Linked DNA regions of Xenopus tropicalis. Each later gene encodes a partner of the first gene's protein in a complex. Links are inferred from orthologs where the notes say so. Each region holds a gene or a part of one and is shown in the gene's direction. Other genes may lie near its edges.

What was found. Proteins that work in one complex are often made in the same cells at the same time.
Region 2: the proteins of tgfb1 (region 1) and lrrc32.1 are in contact, whole or in part, in a cryo-EM structure (PDB 8VSC), measured with the Homo sapiens proteins. The link is inferred for Xenopus tropicalis from reciprocal best matches to the Homo sapiens genes TGFB1 and LRRC32. Residues at the interface, in NP_000651.3 of Homo sapiens: Leu30, Ser31, Thr32, Cys33, Lys34, Pro325, Pro327, Tyr328, Ile329, Trp330, Ser331, Leu332, Thr334, Gln335, Tyr336, Val339, Leu342, His346, Ala353, Pro354; in NP_001122394.1 of Homo sapiens: Ser135, Tyr137, Glu158, Ser160, Thr162, Val184, Met186, Asp187, Ile188, Glu189, Asp190, Phe193, Leu202, Leu204, Arg206, Asn207, Ser208, Leu209, Thr210, Cys211, Ile212, Ser213, Asp214, Phe215, Ser216, Leu217, Leu223, Leu225, Cys227, Ser229.
Region 3: the proteins of tgfb1 (region 1) and nrros are in contact, whole or in part, in a cryo-EM structure (PDB 7Y1R), measured with the Homo sapiens proteins. The link is inferred for Xenopus tropicalis from reciprocal best matches to the Homo sapiens genes TGFB1 and NRROS. Residues at the interface, in NP_000651.3 of Homo sapiens: Leu30, Ser31, Thr32, Cys33, Thr35; in NP_940967.1 of Homo sapiens: Phe194, Glu195, Ile196, Glu197, Gly198, Gly199, Phe201, Leu210, Leu212, Pro218, Cys219, Ile220, Val221, Asp222, Phe223, Gly224, Leu225.

What each region holds. Positions count from the first base shown.
Region 1 is NC_030684.2:79,306,018-79,311,618, reverse strand, and holds the start of tgfb1 (transforming growth factor beta-1 proprotein), read left to right. Parts: upstream 1-1,987; 5' UTR 1,988-2,506; coding exon 2,507-2,840; intron 2,841-5,601. UniProt on the Homo sapiens protein: Transforming growth factor beta-1 proprotein: Precursor of the Latency-associated peptide (LAP) and Transforming growth factor beta-1 (TGF-beta-1) chains, which constitute the regulatory and active subunit of TGF-beta-1, respectively.
Region 2 is NC_030678.2:173,452,266-173,458,012, reverse strand, and holds the start of lrrc32.1 (transforming growth factor beta activator LRRC32), read left to right. Parts: upstream 1-1,995; 5' UTR 1,996-2,395; intron 2,396-5,747.
Region 3 is NC_030681.2:129,828,410-129,834,072, reverse strand, and holds the start of nrros (negative regulator of reactive oxygen species precursor), read left to right. Parts: upstream 1-1,911; 5' UTR 1,912-2,168; intron 2,169-4,459; 5' UTR 4,460-4,475; coding exon 4,476-4,583; intron 4,584-4,712; coding exon 4,713-5,663. UniProt on the Homo sapiens protein: Key regulator of transforming growth factor beta-1 (TGFB1) specifically required for microglia function in the nervous system.

The sequences.
Region 1 (5,601 bases):
ACAGTAAAATATGGTGGTGGTAGTGTGATGGTCTGGGGTTGTTTTGCTGCTTCAGGACCTGGAAGGCTTGCTGTGATAGATGGAACCATGAATTCTACTGTCTACCAAAAAATCCTGAAGGAGAATGTCCGGCCATCTGTTCGTCAACTCAAGCTGAAGCGATCTTGGGTGCTGCAGCAGGACAATGACTCAAAACACACCAGCAAATCCACCTCTGAATGGCTGAAGAAAAACAAAATGAAGACTTTGGAGTGGCCTAGTCAAAGTCCTGACCTGAATCCTATTGAGATGTTGTGGCATGACCTTAAAAAGGCGGTTCATGCGAGAAAACCCTCAAACAAAGCTGAATTACAACAATTCTGCAAAGATGAGTGGGCCAAAATTCCTCCAGAGCGCTGTAAAAGACTCGTTGCAAGTTATCGCAAATGCTTGATTGCAGTTATTGCTGCTAAGGGTGGCCCAACCAGTTATTAGGTTCAGGGGGCAATTACTTTTTCACACAGGGCCATGTAGGTTTGGATTTTTTTTCTCTCTAAATAATAAAAACCCTAATTTAAAAACTGCATTTTGTGTTTACTTGTGTTATCTTTGACTAATAGTTAAATGTGTTTGATGAGCAGAAACATTTAAGTGTGACAAACATGCAAAAGAATAAGAAATCAGGAAGGGGGCAAATAGTTTTTCACACCACTGTACATTCATAAAGGTAGTATTTTCCTAGCATCCTCCAAACACAGTCTGTCCGACTTTCAGATAGTAAAATGCCATTTATTACTCTGTTGGATACATTTTGCCAGACCCTAGACACATGTGCCCCCTCACCTCCCCCCTCTCCACTACCCCACACTATTTCTAAAATCACCTCCTCTGTAGTTGCCGCTGTTATTTTACATTTGGATAAACCTTTTACCTGTATACAAGCTGTTTGGGAAGAGATTGCTCTGATTATTTGATATAGTGCAGCACTATCTCTTCTTATACAGAAAGCACATCTGAGTAAAGTAGCAGGTAGAGGATTTAGGGCATGGAGATAAGTAGGAAATATGTAATTTTACAAACGTGCAGACATTTTTATTAATATTGCAACCTTCTAATAATGCACCCAAGGCTCCTGCCTCCCCTTCCTACACCTAATTTAGGCATTGCTATTTGCTATATTTCCTACTATTTTATCTTATAATTTTACAGTATAATTTGCTTAGTATATAATCTCCTTATGAATTCTCATTCTAGAGCTTCATATAAGCTTCCATTTTGCTACCCCCTTTGCACTGACCTAAACCCGCCCATACCCAACCCAAGACCAACCCTTGTATAATCCTGCCCACCACTGTATATACTCCAGCTTTTATTGCTTACATGTACATCACATACATAGCAGTACTGCAAATAGCTGGCCTATTGAATGTAGCAACTGGGACAGCTACACATTGCAGTCTGTCTGTTTTGGTACTACAGCAGAGCAGGCATACCTTCAACTGTTTTCACATATCTAATTTCTGAAGGAAATATTTAATGTGGAGTCTGTCATTACCTATACTTGTATTGTCTGCACAATGTTGTCTGTAACTTAAACATTTGGAGTTGTTTCTGTTACCAATAGAAAATATATTCACAACTTCTGTTTAGGGTAAGTTTTAAGAATACTAAGACTCTGCTCTGTATGTAACCTAAAGATTGTAGAAACAAAGCCAGTATTTTTGCAGAAACAATGTTAGAAATAGAATAGAAAAGGAGGTGCTGGATGACTACATTGCTGTAGTTCTGCTGGTCCAAACACCATCACTAATTCTTTTTAAAGTTTATATAGATTTAGTTAATGCCTTATATTTAAAGATGAAACCAATAATTAGCTCAGGCATGAAAGATTTGTTTGAGAGGGAGGGAAAAAGGATAGGGCTTACTATGTAGTGCTCTCCACCCCAAAGCGTAAGAGCATTTCCCTAAACCATTTCAGTGTGTGTGTGTTGAGAGTATTTTATCTCCCATATCCTGGGTGGAGCTTTAAGTTACAGCACACAGGAGGAAGCCAAGAGGGGGACGGTGAGAATCATGTTCTAGCAAGCAGGGTTACAAGGGCCGTCAAATTACATTTAGAGGGGGGGAGTTGACTGCATACAAGGCACATATTCTATAAGCTCTGGAAGCCAACCAGGATCTCCCACACTGCTCAATGCCACTGCTTCATGAAGACGGGACAGCAACTTTCAGAACTGCTTTCAGCTTTTCTCACCAAGAGACCGTTCCATCTCTTTAACATAGTCACACAGTGTTCCAGTTGTAATTATGTTTTCATTTAATGGTGGCAGCAAAACCTCTCCTCTTTATTTTTAGGCCGGCACATGGTACTCTGAGCGCAGCACATACAATGAATTAGGGCGTTTAAACTGACTGTAAGTCAATCTGAGCTGGTGCTGAGACTGCTGAAGGACATATAAATAAAAGGAAGCCATCCTAAAAACCTACAATCCAGAGCTACTTGACTTTTGTCGTGGAACACTGCATTATGGAGGTTCTTTGGATGCTGCCGGTGCTGTTGGTGCTGCATCTTTCCACTTTAACTATGTCCATGTCTACCTGTAAGACTGTGGATATGGAAGAAGTCAGAAAGAGAAGAATTGAAGCCATCAGGGGGCAAATTCTCAGCAAACTAAAACTGGACAGAACACCAGATGTAGACAGTGAGAACATGACAGTGCCGAGTGAAGCCATCTCCCTTTACAATAGCACCTTGGAGGTGATCAGAGAAAGAGCAGCCAAAGAAGAAGCTCCTGTGTGGCAAGAGCACAACATACAGGATTATTACGCAAAACAAGTTCACAGGTTCGAAAGCATAAATGGTGAGTGATTTAAAGCTACGTTTGAAATTCTAAATAATGTCCCAGCATTAGTAGTTTATATGGCTAAGCAGAAATACCAAAGAAGTTTTCCATCTCTTGTTGAACTATAACTCAAAGTGTTCTGATGTACTGAGGACTCAAGAACTGATTTATGGTAATGCCAAAGGTATTTCTTTTCTGCAGGTAAAGTGTTGTCAATCCGTAGAAACATGATAGATTGCCAGCCTTTTAAAGTGAAATCTTCTAAGATCATGACAAACAAGCAATATTATCACCCAAAAATGCAAATGCCCTTGTCCCCATGTTTTCTAGTGATAGTTCTGCATGTGTGCCATATTCACTACAGAATGTTGTGTGTGACATTACCATTACATTAGGATACTGACAGTTATTAGTTTACTGAGTGCCTAACATCTATTACAATTCTGTTTCTGTAAAGAAGTGAGGGCTTACTTACCAAAAACATAGGTGCTAATTTACATTAATGCAGTTCCCAGTAGCAACTAGGTATTTGCTTTTATTTCCCAGGGTGCTAATCGCAACTGCACTGGTGCAATTTAGCAACTTTGAATTTATAAATCAGCCATGTGGTTTCTTGTAGCTTTTAGGTTTTCCCCACTCTCGTTTCAGATTGGTGAGCTCATTTATGAACAGATAATTCCCAGGCATACCAGTCACTTTGCTTTTACTTGACTTGATGTGAATGGGGGTAGGCTGGAGGGCATCATTACTTGTGACTTGAGAGATATTCCCTTGGTGCCCTTCTAACATTGAGCTTTGTGGTTAGTGTGCAAGGCCAGCACAATGTGCCATAGGTAGAGCACTCAGGTTGCTAGTGTTGCTCCTGCATAGCTATGCAGGCAAGTTAATAAATTATTCCAGATCAAATGTTGTATTTATTAACTTGTCCACAAAATCTTAAGGGGTTGCAACTTAGTAGGAGCAAACTGCACCCATCATAAATAATTGAGCTGCTTTGAGCTCTATTTCCTTTCCTGATTCCTTTCAGTATCTTTTTTGTGCAATGCCTTGCAATATGATACTATGAAAGAAAAAGCCAGGTAATGAGAACACCTTATGCCTGTCAGTTCAGATGAACACTGGTAACAAAATAGGGAAGATGCTGTCACCTATTCTGTGACAATACAATAGCTAGAGGGCAGCTTAGCAGCTAGTAATTTCAAGGATGCTTTTCTGAGCAGAGATAATTCATTATTTACTGTAGCTTAAGAGACTCCACTTAATAACAGGAATGAGAACAATTATGGTCTTAGCGGAATGAATTCTGCACTTTCAGCTATATTATTATTCAGGATTGCACCCAGAGGGAACTGGACATGTGTATAGACATGCATGAGCACATACAACACTCAAAAGACATATACTTGGACATGGATATAGCCTGAATAGAAAGATATAAAATGTAAAGAATAAGAGTGTAACTGAAACTGCACAGTCAGCCTGTTTTTGGTTGTTGGGGTCAGTGACTCCAGCATTAGCATAGCATTTTCAGTACCAGGCCAAAAAGACACAGAATTGGACACCTAAAATTTATTTGTAAATGAAGTTGAGGACTAGCTGAGAAATGGCTTAGAATACTGTGCATGAAACCTGTTGAGTATTTCGGTTGCCCTGTATCTAAAGGATTGCTGGCTCCAATTTGCTTTGGGCTCCCCACATTCTAGCTTCCTAGGTGACCTGTTTCAGCTCTTGTCTTGTTCTTATAGAAATTGGCTTTATTCCATTGTAAGGAGCAGTGTAACTTTAAAAAACTTGCTGTAAAAATTTAGGAAATTCAACCAAATTATTCACAGTTACACAGTCGCAGGCCAGTCTGTTTCTCTGCTTCTCTTTGCCTTTGCCCAGTTTCCTCCTTAGCTTTTCCCTACTATTATCCCACTGACCCTTCAGTGTATCACTACCACTGTCTTCATCACTCTTTGTATATGTTTATTCCTTTCATTTTCCTCCTACCCCTTCTGTTTCTCTAGAAGGTGGTTCCATTCCTCCCACTCCCACTGTTTCCTGCTCCCCCTGATTTTATCACTTCTTTTCCTTTGCTTCTCTCTGCTACTGTCCATTACTGCCCATTCTTTTCTGCTACATTTTCCTGACACTTCACTAATGCTCCTCTCACATATCCTGGTTATTCCTATAACTTTCTTCTCTAACCTGACAGTGCTGTTTCCATTGATAGTTAACTGTCCGCCAGTCTTTCTTTGCTCTTCTTCCTTCTAGAAAAAACAGTAATTGTCAATGACAAAAACCCTGAGGGGTGCAAAGTATATGTATGTTTCCCCTTTACCTAATTTTAATAATATTATGAACGGTAACATTAAGGGCCAAGCTACATGAAAGCTTTGGTTGGATCTTACAGTGACAGATCACATTCTAAATACCAGATGTAGTTGTACATGTCTAAAATAATGTAATTGATACTAAAATCAGATCTGTAAATTACATGAAAGCTCTGCCCCCTCCGACCCAACATGACTGTTGAACTGATGCATTTTTATCCAAGTATTTATGGGGGATAGACTTTTGTGTATCATTGGCATACATTTATTTTTGGATGTAGATGCATGGAAAACAAAAAAACATCTAAATATATCTGATCAGTCTCATTACAGCAGGGAGGGTCAGATGTTGTAGCATCCCATAAGATGTCATGCAGTTGTGTGCAGATGCCTGATTCCTTTATGTGGGACAGATGAGTCTATTCGGCCAATGTCCTTCATGTAGTTTGACCCTTACATTTTGA
Region 2 (5,747 bases), on another chromosome or scaffold:
GGAGTCAGACCCAGAGAACAGGGATAAACAAACCCCTACTGGGGCTGCAGCAGCCGGGGCTCCCATAGGGCACAAACCCAACCCCGGGTCTGAGTATTTGTGCTGCCGCTGCCGTGGAGATGCACTTTAACCATGTACCGTCCCATGGATATTGGGTTTTCTCTGTGTAGAGTGTAAGCTCTTTTGGGCAGGGCTCCCTTCCCCTCCTGTATCGGTTACTGATTGCTTTATATGTTACTCTGTATGCCCAATGTATGAAATGCAGTAATTCCTTGTAGAGTGTAAGCTCTTTTGGGCAGGGCTCCCTTCCCCTCCTGTATCGGTTACTGATTGCTTTATATGTTACTCTGTATGCCCAATGTATGAAATGCAGTAATTCCTTGTAGAGTGTAAGCTCTTTTGGGCAGGGCTCTCTTCCCCTCCTGTATCGGTTACTGATTGCTTTATATGTTACTCTGTATGCCCAATGTATGAAATGCAGTAATTCCTTGTAGAGTGTAAGCTCTTTTGGGCAGGGCTCCCTTCCTCTCCTGTATCGGTTACTGATTGCTGTATATGTTACTCTGTATGCCCAATGTATGGAACCCACTTATTGTACAGCGCTGCGGGATATGTTGGCGCTTTATAAATAAATGTTAATAATAATAATAATAATAATATTTCCAGTATTTAATTTCTCTCTGGTTTCCAGGACGCTGGACCCTAGCAACATAAACACATAAGCCAGCTCAAAATAAAACTGGAAAGTCTGAGAGCAGATCAAGGGGAAATGATTTTTCTCAATTTTATAATGTCTTTTTTGACATGTAAAGGGGTAAATTCACTTTTAGTAGGATGTAGGTGAGTGATATTCTGAGATAATTTGCAATTGGTCTTCATTTTTTTTGATTATTGGTGGTTTTTGAAATATTTAGCTTTTTGTTCACCAGTACTCTAATATAGAATTTTAGCAGCTCTCTGGTTGCTAGGGATCAAAATACCCTAACGACCAGCCAGTAGGTTAAATATAAAACTGAAATATGAATGGGGGAGGGGCTGAATAGAAAGATAAGGAATAAAAAGTAACAATAACAATAAAACTGGAGACTCACAGAGCAATAGGGTTTGGCTGCCGGGGTCAGTGACCCCCATTTGAAAGCAGAAGAAGAAGGCAAATAATTCAAAAACAATAAAAGATAAAAAATGAAGACCAATTGAAAAGTTCCTAAGAACTGACCATTCTATAACATACTAAAAGTTAACTCAAAGGTGAATGAACCCCAAAAAATTAACTGAAGGAAACCTGGTCAAAAAAAGTCCTCTGGGCACTTGTGAACTTTCATTTATTTTTTTCTATTATTAGTGGTTTCTGAGACATTAGCACTTTTAGACTGCTAATAACAGGCTTAAGGCTTAACAGCCCTCTTTAAAGTATCAGCAACCCTCAGGGTCGGACCGGGCAAGTGGGACACTGGGAAAAAATCCAGTGGACCTTGCCAACCCAGAACCAATCCCCACTGGGAAGCATCAGCGCCTTACCACTAACTTGTGCCAAGGGGGGGGGGGGGGGGGGGGGTGGTTGGGAGGCAGGGCCCCCGGGGGGCCCATAGGGTGGCAGCCCAGTTTCTGTATTCAGTTAATCCTAGCGTCACTGACTCTCAGATGATCCAAACTCCTGATATTAGCAGTCTAAAACTGCAAAGTCCCAGAAACCACTTCAATTAGAAAATGAATACTAGCAGCCCGTGTAAGTGAACTTTATTTAATTGTTTGTGTTTAGATTGGCCCCGTGCTGCTCCCCCATAGGTGCCCAGCCCCAGACATTAACCCTATCAATCCCTCATTCCCAGGCTCCTCCTTCCCAACCTCCCCTGAGGGGTCACCTAAAGAATAGCTTATCATTGGCTCATCTTTGTAGGGTTAAAACATGGCCGCATCTTGATCAGCAGCAGCCCTGGGCCAGTGATTGGCTAACAGGGGGGATCAGCAGTGCCTTGCTGCCTGTTGCTTTCTGCTCTGCCGGTTCTGACTTTAAACAATGTAGCAGAAGTTGGACCTCCTCCAGCCCAGACTCCATTTCTTGCTCTGCCTTTTGTGTTTCTTTACATGTCAGTTACACTATTCAGAACCGCCAGTGCATAGAGCAGTAAGGGAGTAGGAAACGGGCCGGTACTGAGTGTTTCCTTTTCTTTCTTCTTCAAAGAGTCCATATGATTGGCTAATTGGGATCCGCTCTCTTAATTGGGGATTTTGCTTTAATCTTGAACTTCCACCCCCGGAACAAAACTGCATTTATGTTTATTAATCAGCCTCTGACAACATTTAGTCTCGGCTAATGGCTCTCAGTCCATCAACTGCCGGTACTGACTAATGGCAGCTCATCTGCACCGACTGAACTCCCTCAGATTAAAGACAAGTGAGTATATAGCCTATTGTGTGCCCAGAGCATTCCTTCTCTGTATATTTGTATTTATACATATGGGTAGGAGGTGCCATAGTGTTTCCCTTAGACAGTACAGTATGGGGGTACAGCTTATTGTGTGCCCAGAACATTCCTTCTCTGTATATTTGTATTTATACATATGGGTAGGGGGTGCCATAGTGTTTCCCTTAGACAGTACAGTATGGGGGTACAGCTTATTGTGTGCCCAGAACATTCCTTCTCTGTATATTTGTATTTATACATATGGGTAGGAGGTGCCATAGTGTTTCCCTTAGACAGTACAGTATGGGGGTACAGCTTATTGTGTGCCCAGAACATTCCCTCTCTGTATATTTGTATTTATACATATGGGTAGGGGGTGCCATAGTGTTTCCCTTAGACAGTACAGTATGGGGGTACAGCTTATTGTGTGCCCAGAGCATTCCTTCTCTGTATATTTGTATTTATACATATGGGTAGGAGGTGCCATAGTGTTTCTCTTAGACAGTACAGTATGGGGGTACAGCTTATTGTGTGCCCAGAACATTCCTTCTCTGTATATTTGTATTTATACATATGGGTAGGGGGTGCCATAGTGTTTCCCTTAGACAGTACAGTATGGGGGTACAGCTTATTGTGAGCCCAGAAAATTCCTTCTCTGTATATTTGTATTTATACATATGGGTAGGGGGTGCCATAGTGTTTCCCTTAGACAGTACAGTATGGGGGTACAGCTTATTGTGTGCCCAGAGCATTCCTTCTCTGTATATTTGTATTTATACATATGGGTAGGAGGTGCCATAGTGTTTCTCTTAGACAGTACAGTATGGGGGTACAGCTTATTGTGTGCCCAGAACATTCCTTCTCTGTATATTTGTATTTATACATATGGGTAGGGGTGCCATAGTGTTTCCCTTAGACAGTACAGTATGGGGGTACAGCTTATTGTGAGCCCAGAAAATTCCTTCTCTGTATATTTGTATTTATACATATGGGTAGGGGGTGCCATAGTGTTTCCCTTAGACAGTACAGTATGGGGGTACAGCTTATTGTGTGCCCAGAACATTCCTTCTCTGTATATTTGTATTTATACATATGGGTAGGAGGTGCCATAGTGTTTCCCTTAGACAGTACAGTATGGGGGTACAGCTTATTGTGTGCCCAGAGCATTTCTTCTCTGTATATTTGTATTTATACATATGGGTAGGAGGTGCCATAGTGTTTCCCTTAGACAGTACAGTATGGGGGTACAGCTTATTGTGTGCCCAGAACATTCCTTCTCTGTATATTTGTATTTATACATATGGGTAGGGGGTGCCATAGTGTTTCCCTTAGACAGTACAGTATGGGGGTACAGCTTATTGTGTGCCCAGAGCCTTCCTTCCCTGCACCTCAAAAATCACATTTTTTTATATTCATTTTTGCAAATTGAACTTTTTAACAAAATTAATGATCCTGGACCCTCTCTGACTTCTATAGACGTAAACTTAATATTGGATTTTAATAATAAATAAATTCAATTTTTAAAAAGTAAAATGTTTTATTAGAAAATGACCAAACGATATATTTTTTTAGTTACAGAATAATTCAAACTACGAATGCAGGAAAGCCTTCCTGGTTGCTAGGGTAATTTGGACCCTAGCAACCAGATCGCTGCTAAAATTCCAAACTAAAGAACAAAAAGCTAAATAATTCAAAAACCATAAGTCGTAAAAAGTAATGACCAACTGCAAATGATCTCAGAATAATTTAAAGATAAACAACTCATTTACATGTCAAAAAAAAATTGAGAAAATTAATTTCCCCTCGACCTTTGTTTAATCTGCTCTCGGAGGTTTCAGTTTTATTTTGAGCTTCTGTCTGTCTGTAAAATGTCTTGGGGACACGTGGGGCCCCATAGAGTAACTGCCGTATAGAAAGAGATGATTTCACTGGGGTATCTAGGGCCCCCCTCCAGTCCCGAACCCACCCCTCCAGTGCAGTGCGTCTCTCTTATTTGGCTATTGGGGGATGAGGGAGGAGCAAGAGAAAGAGGGGGCGGGGCTAGGTCAGTGGGGCCCACAAGGGCCGGGGCCAACTGGGTGTTTTCACCATGTCTCGCTGGTCCAGTCCGACCCCGGACTCCTACCAACTCAGCAATACTCAGGTTTTCTCCCCAATTCTCACTCTGGTTTGGCCCCCCAACCCCTGCTCTGTGCCCACCTAGATGCCCCCCCCCGTGCAGTGCGTCTCTCTTATTTGGCTATTGGGGGATGAGGGAGGAGCAAGGGAGAGAGAGGGGAGTGGCTCGAGGTCAGTGGGGCCCACAAGGGCCGGGGCCAACTGGGTGTTTTCCTGGTGTCTCGCTGGTCCAGTCCAACCCCGGACTCCTACCAACTCAGCAATTGGTTTTCTCCCCAATTCTCACTCTGGTTTGGCCCCCCAACCCCTGCTCTATGCCCACCTAGATGCTCCCCCCCCCCCGCAGTGCGTCTCTCTTATTTGGCTATTGGGGGATGAGGGAGGAGCAAGAAAGAGAGGGGGTGGGGCTAGATCAGTGGGGCCCACAAGGGCCGGGCCCACTGGGTGTTTTCCCGGTGTCTCGTTGGTCCAGTCCGACCCCGGACTCCTACCAACTCAGCAATAGGTTTTCTCCCCAATTCTCACTCTGGTTTGGCCCCCCAACCCCTGCTCTGTGCCCACCTAGATGGGCCCCCCCGCCGTGCAGTGCGTCTCTCTTATTTGGCTATTGGGGGATGAGGGAGGAGCAAGAGAGAGAGGGGGTGGGGCTAGATCAGTGGGGCCCACAAGGGCCGGGGCCCGCTGGGTGTTTTCCCGGTGTCTCGCTGGTCCAGTCCGACCCCGGACTCCTACCAAATCAGCAATAGGTTTTCTCCCCAATTCTCACTCTTGTTTGGCCCCCCAACCCCTGCTCTGTGCCCACCTAGATGGGGCCCACCCCCCACAGTTTAGGGGCCGCTGCCAAAGGAAGTTGCGCAATGTTCGGATATACGGACAATGGAATTTTAGTAACAGATACAATTCTGAGAAATTAACCCTCCGAGTGCCGCTTGCAATGGTTTTGGGTCGAAAGGCAAAGGGAACACAGAGTCCGAAGAAATTAAAGGGTTAACAGCAAGGCAAATCCAGGAGGGATGGGACTGAGGGAGAATGGGGCGCAGTTCTATAGCAACGCGTATTTGGGTTAATCAGATCTGACTCCCCGAGTTCCCCCCGGTGCCTGACATCGCTGCCGAAGTATGTACTGAATGTAACCCCCATGGGCAACAGTAAGGCTGCATATGTTTGGCCCAGAATATTCATTTATTCCAGCGGCTGCGAGAACAAAGAGACCCATCAGTGATGA
Region 3 (5,663 bases), on another chromosome or scaffold:
GTCTCTAATCTCAATCAGCAGGACAGCCATTAGTTAAAAAAATGTGGTACAGATGTAGGGAGCTCTACTGATTAGTCCTGCTAAAGTCGACCCAAAACATTGGATTGGCATTGGCATTAGAAGGATCTGATGTAAGAGGGGGTCACTCTCTCTATAGGGAAGAAAGTAAGGCCCTGTTGCAGATTGGGCATCTGAATGAGGCACAGTGTTGGGCCTTCCCCCTCCTGCCCTCATAAATACACAGGAACAGGGGAAAGCAGTGTGCAAAGAAACTGCTGATTGCAGTCATTGCATTGCAGAGCCCCCTAGGCAAGGTGTGGATAGTGAATTTCTGGCATTTTCAGTGAGGCTAGACGTACAAGATGGAGCCAGAGTTTGGGAAATACACAAACAGCATCAAATTCCGCATTTGTCTATTGGCACTTGGTCTCCTGCTTGTGTATAGAATGTTGGGTAAAAGTCACAGACAAGCTGCGAAACATAAGCATAAGAAATATAAACTTGTCTTCCGTTGTCACCGAGATGCAGATGCAATTGCAATTGTAAGCAGTATCTGTTTTTCTGCCCATGCACTGTATATTGGAAATGTGCTTATGATTTTCTTCCATTATGCAACAAAAAATAACTGTTTTCGGGTGGTAGTTCTCGTTAATTACTATAATATAAATACATTTCTATTAGTCCATTTTTAGGGATTAGAAAATTAAACTTGTATTATTGTAGGACTAGAATGACATGCATTACTCCTAACACGCTAATTAAAATGACATCTTCTTCTGCGCTAAAATTATATCTGAAAAATGTTTACCTACAATGGTTCCACCTTTCAATCTATGGCAATGTTGATGCCTGCAACACAGTTTAGACAGGCATTACACACAATTCTCTGTGTCACCCTCACCATAGTGCCGGAGGAAAGGCTTTCCAACCTGATACTTTTACATATGTTCCCCCAGGGTCTGTCTTTCGTAGATGGAAAAGGAGTTTGTATGTTCTCCCCATATCTGTGTGGGTTTGCTCCAGGCATTCTGGTTCCCTCCGACACTCTCAATACATTCAGGCAGGTTAATTGTATTCTAATAAATTGGAGCAACTGTATGTAAATGTGATAGGTACCGTATCCATCGGGGCAAGAGCTGATGTGAATGAAGTATAATCTGTTGGCGCTATATAAATACCAAGTAATAAAAAAGATGGGGATGGGGAAACCTCCACCCTCCTAAGGATTTTTTGAATACTTAAAGGACTAAATACTCATCTTCAGCCTTTTCTGCTTTCCAGTGGTCCACTCTTATTTAAGTCCAGCATAAAAGTATAAAGTATGAAAGAATAAGGTCCAGGCATGAACATTTGGGATCACTTATTAGGTGGTGGTCCTACTGCATAAATGTATGTGTATGTAGTAAATAATGTTCACACCAGCCCCACTTGCATTTTAAACAATAACTGAATCATTTCACCATGATAAACTTGCATATAAAATAAATGCCTTATAAATTTGTGGTCATATCTTGCCTTTCTCCCTGCCCCCCCCCCCCCCCCAAGAAAGAGAGTTTGGGATGTTACTAAACTGGAATTGAGATGAAATAAAGTAAAAGAAGAACTATCAGAAACTGATGTACAGACTGGTGACTACTCTGAAGGGTTTTTTATCTCTCTGTGCTGGCCCAGCGCTTCATGTGACTTTAGCTTCCGTTATTTCCTTCCGCAAGATCTAAAATAACCTCTAGAAGGAAGAAAAAAAGAGAGAGAAGAAGCTGCTGAGTTGTTTCAGGATGCACATGTGCCCAGCTCACCGCACTGACACTGCGCCTCACATCCAAGTGACCGGCTTCATTTCTTAATGTGAGTTGTGAGCCTACGCTGACTTTTGGTTAGTCACCTGCACTGCGGCTTCACCATGTGCACCTCATCTGCCCTTCTAGTCATTGCTAGTTTGATTTTACAAACAGGTTTCCGTTCTGACCTAGTGACCCAGCTGAAATGTATTTGAGTTATTACTGCGCCCTTTCTCTTTGATCGCCATGCAACCTTGGCTCATATTGGTGACTTTATTTTTCAGAGAATCCTATGTTTCTTTCCAGTGTTGGTACAAAACGTAAAGTCCTCAATTTTGGATCCTGTCAGCTGAAGTGATACCCATGATGCTATGCGCTCATCTAAGTGCGGTAAGTGGCTCTGTTTCTGGTTGTGGGTTCTTTTGAGTGTGGGCTAGAAAACCCCAAAAGATGCACTAACACAATACTTTCACATACCGTACAGCCACTGGCACGGAATAGCATCACTTCTAACATGGATTGCTGAAAGCACAATCCTTTTCTTTGCAAAATGTCTGCAGTGTCCCAACACATTATAGCAATAAACATCCACTGCTAGTTTGAGATGAGACAAAGAGGGTATCGGCTATAGGCCCCTAGCCTCAGCCTCAAAATACCCAGATTAATTAACAAATTATTACAATTTGTAATACACAATGTTTTTTAGCAATTCCATAAAGCCATTTAACCTGGAATCTGAAGACTGTGATGGGGGTGAGAGGAATTATAGTACAATAGATCCAAGTCAGAAACCCCATATTAAGTATTTAGCCCCAGCCTCAACATAGACATGGAATAAGGAGTGATTGACAATGCAAATAAGCTGGGGACCCCATCTGAGAGGAAAAAGAAGGGATGTCCAGCTTGTATCCCTTCTACAGTTATTAACTACAACTCCCAGAGAGATGCTCAATTGCTCTTTAAAAACAGCTGGTGGCCTGCAGGTTGGACATTCTTGGTGTATATACTGAAAATATATAATAGTGAGTACACAATATAATATATCCTCACCCTCACTAATTATAAACACACACACACATATATATATATATATATATATATACATATATATAGTATACTGTAAACTACACCTCAATATATAGCTGCTTTAATAGCAGGACATTTCTTTAAAAATGCAGAATATAACGCAAGTTTAATAGTAAGCCATATATATTGACTATATGGAAGAGGTTAAATGGACATGGGAAACTGGTTGAGGCATCTGGCATATCTGGAGAGTGTCTTGGTGTGACTAGGGCAGATCAGGGGTATGGCCTAAATTGTCCCTCTTTTTCAAATATAAATGTTGGAGTAAATCAATATTCACCTTCATGGGGTAGAACTCACACACACCAGCACTCACTTTCTAGCTTACCAACTCTCTGATTTGTCACAGACAACTAATCTCCTCATGTGTCAGGGCCCTTAGGGCAGTCGCACACGAGGAGATTAGTCGCCCCGCGATAAATCTTCGTTACTGCGGGAGACTAATCTCCCTGCCATGCCATTCCACTGGCAAGAATGTCAATCTCCAAGTGTGATGGCATACGCTTCGGTTTCCCGAAGTTGCGCAAAGTTTCCTTGAGAGGCAACTTCGGGCGTCTTTGTGAAACCAAAGCGACACGTATGCCATCCCACCAGCGATTTACATTCTTGCTGGTGGGATGTCAAGGAGATTAGTCGCCCGCAGTAATGAAGATTTAACACGGGCGACTAATCTCTACTTGTACCACTGCCCTTAGAGGTAATACTGTGAGAGCTGATAAACTAGAGTTTGAGTGCTGGTGTGTACTACACCATAAAGGTAAATATTGATTTGCTACATTTGAAAAAAAGGGACAATTTTAGGCCATGGCCCTGATCTGCCTTAGTCACACCCACACACTCTCCAGATATCCCAAATGCCCCGACCAATTTCTGGTAAGCCCACCCCTTTTGATGTCCATTACTTGAGACAATTGGGAGGTATGGATTTGTGCCTGTATCTATTTAGGAGAAAATGTGTAGCATTTCACGTGTCCTTCAAATATTGGGATAGTTTCAATTAAATACAGGGAAATGTTATTCTCTATAATACACAGGTTTAGAAAAGGGCTGACATTAATATCTTTATATAGTACATCTGGAGATCACAAAATCTTTGGAAAGCAGGGGGGTAATAACCTTTCTAGGCACATTTAGATTTTATTAGGCTTACACAAACATTTGGATATCAACTGTGCATTTTAGTACAACAACCTAAAACAAAGATTGAAATTGTAGTATAAAAATACTCAAAATAACAAACTGGACAATGTTCTGACCATAAATTGGCAGACAACAATCGTACGAAAGTTATGTCCCAGAAATATATTGTAGGTCAGCCAAGGAGACTGTCAGATACACAAAACATGCACAAATATTATTGTTATCTGGCCAAAATTTTCTAACCTGATCTGATTAATTAAACAACCAATTGCTATTACATAAAAAATGTTGAGAGGATAATTTGGAGTTCACACACAGTCCGAAAATCGCACAAAACTACATTTTGTAGGATTATATTGGTGCGTGTATGGCCAGCTTTACAGTGCTGTGGGTGAAGCAGGAATCATTACAGCTGAAATTAAATCACATGACTGTATTTTCTGTGTTTCCTTTAGGAACGATTTTAATGCTATGGCCAATGTGTTCTTTTGGCTTCTATTGGCTTTCATGTACTTAACATTACAATGGAAATATAATGGTGCTGAAGGCAAATTGTCTACCGAAAGTGGCTGCAAACTGGTAAGTTTTACAATGTATTTGCCTTCTAATAAACATTTTTACAGAACAGAAGAAGATTTATCTTGCACTCTATCCATACATTCTCTTTCAGACCTGCTTGCATTTGGTAACATGCTGTTATTGTTTCAGTTTTACAGGGTTGCGGATTGTAGCCATTTACAGCTTTTGTCAGTTCCTCAGAACCTACCTACTGATATTCAAGAGCTGCTTCTAGATTTCAATCAAATAAGGTTTCTGCATAAAAACTCCTTTCTAAGATATCATGACTTAACAAACCTTAGCTTGCGATCTAATCGAATGGAATTTGTGGAGCCAGGAGCCTTTAATGGCATTAGGAGCCTGAAAGTCCTCTCACTACAGAACAACACTATATCTATGGAATATGAATTAACATCCGCAGCTTTAAGACTGACCCCATCCCTTAAAGAACTGGATTTGTCTAGGAATATGCTTACAATGGATATGGTATCAGTTCTTCATCAGAACTTAACATCCCTTGAAAGGCTTTTTTTGGATAACAATATTATCATGCGCTTGGACCAAACTGTGTTTGAGGGCCTAGTTCATCTGAAGGAGTTAAGTTTGCAGTGGAACTACATTTATGAAATTGAAGATGGTACATTTGAGGGACTTGTGAAATTGAAGAAACTAGATTTGGCTTATAACCTATTGCCATGCATTGGCGACTTTAGACTAACACAAATTCAGATGCTCAATTTAAGCTTCAACAACCTTGAATGGTTCCAATCACAAGAGACTGATGTTGAGTTCCACCTGGAGATATTGGACATTTCCAACAACCAGCTGCTCTTCTTCCCACTTTTGCCCAGGCAACATCGTCTGCATACGTTGCTGCTCTCCAATAACAGGATGAGGTTCTATGGTGACATTTTTGGTACAAACACCTCCAGGGCTGATTTTCTGATTGTAGAAAATAACATCACATCTGTCACTACAGTTGACCTTTGGAGTGATGATATACACAGCAATCTCTCCACATTACATTACCTTGATATGAGCCATAACCAATTTGCTTTCTTTCCTCATGGATTTTTTTCCAACATGAGCTCATTGGCATAT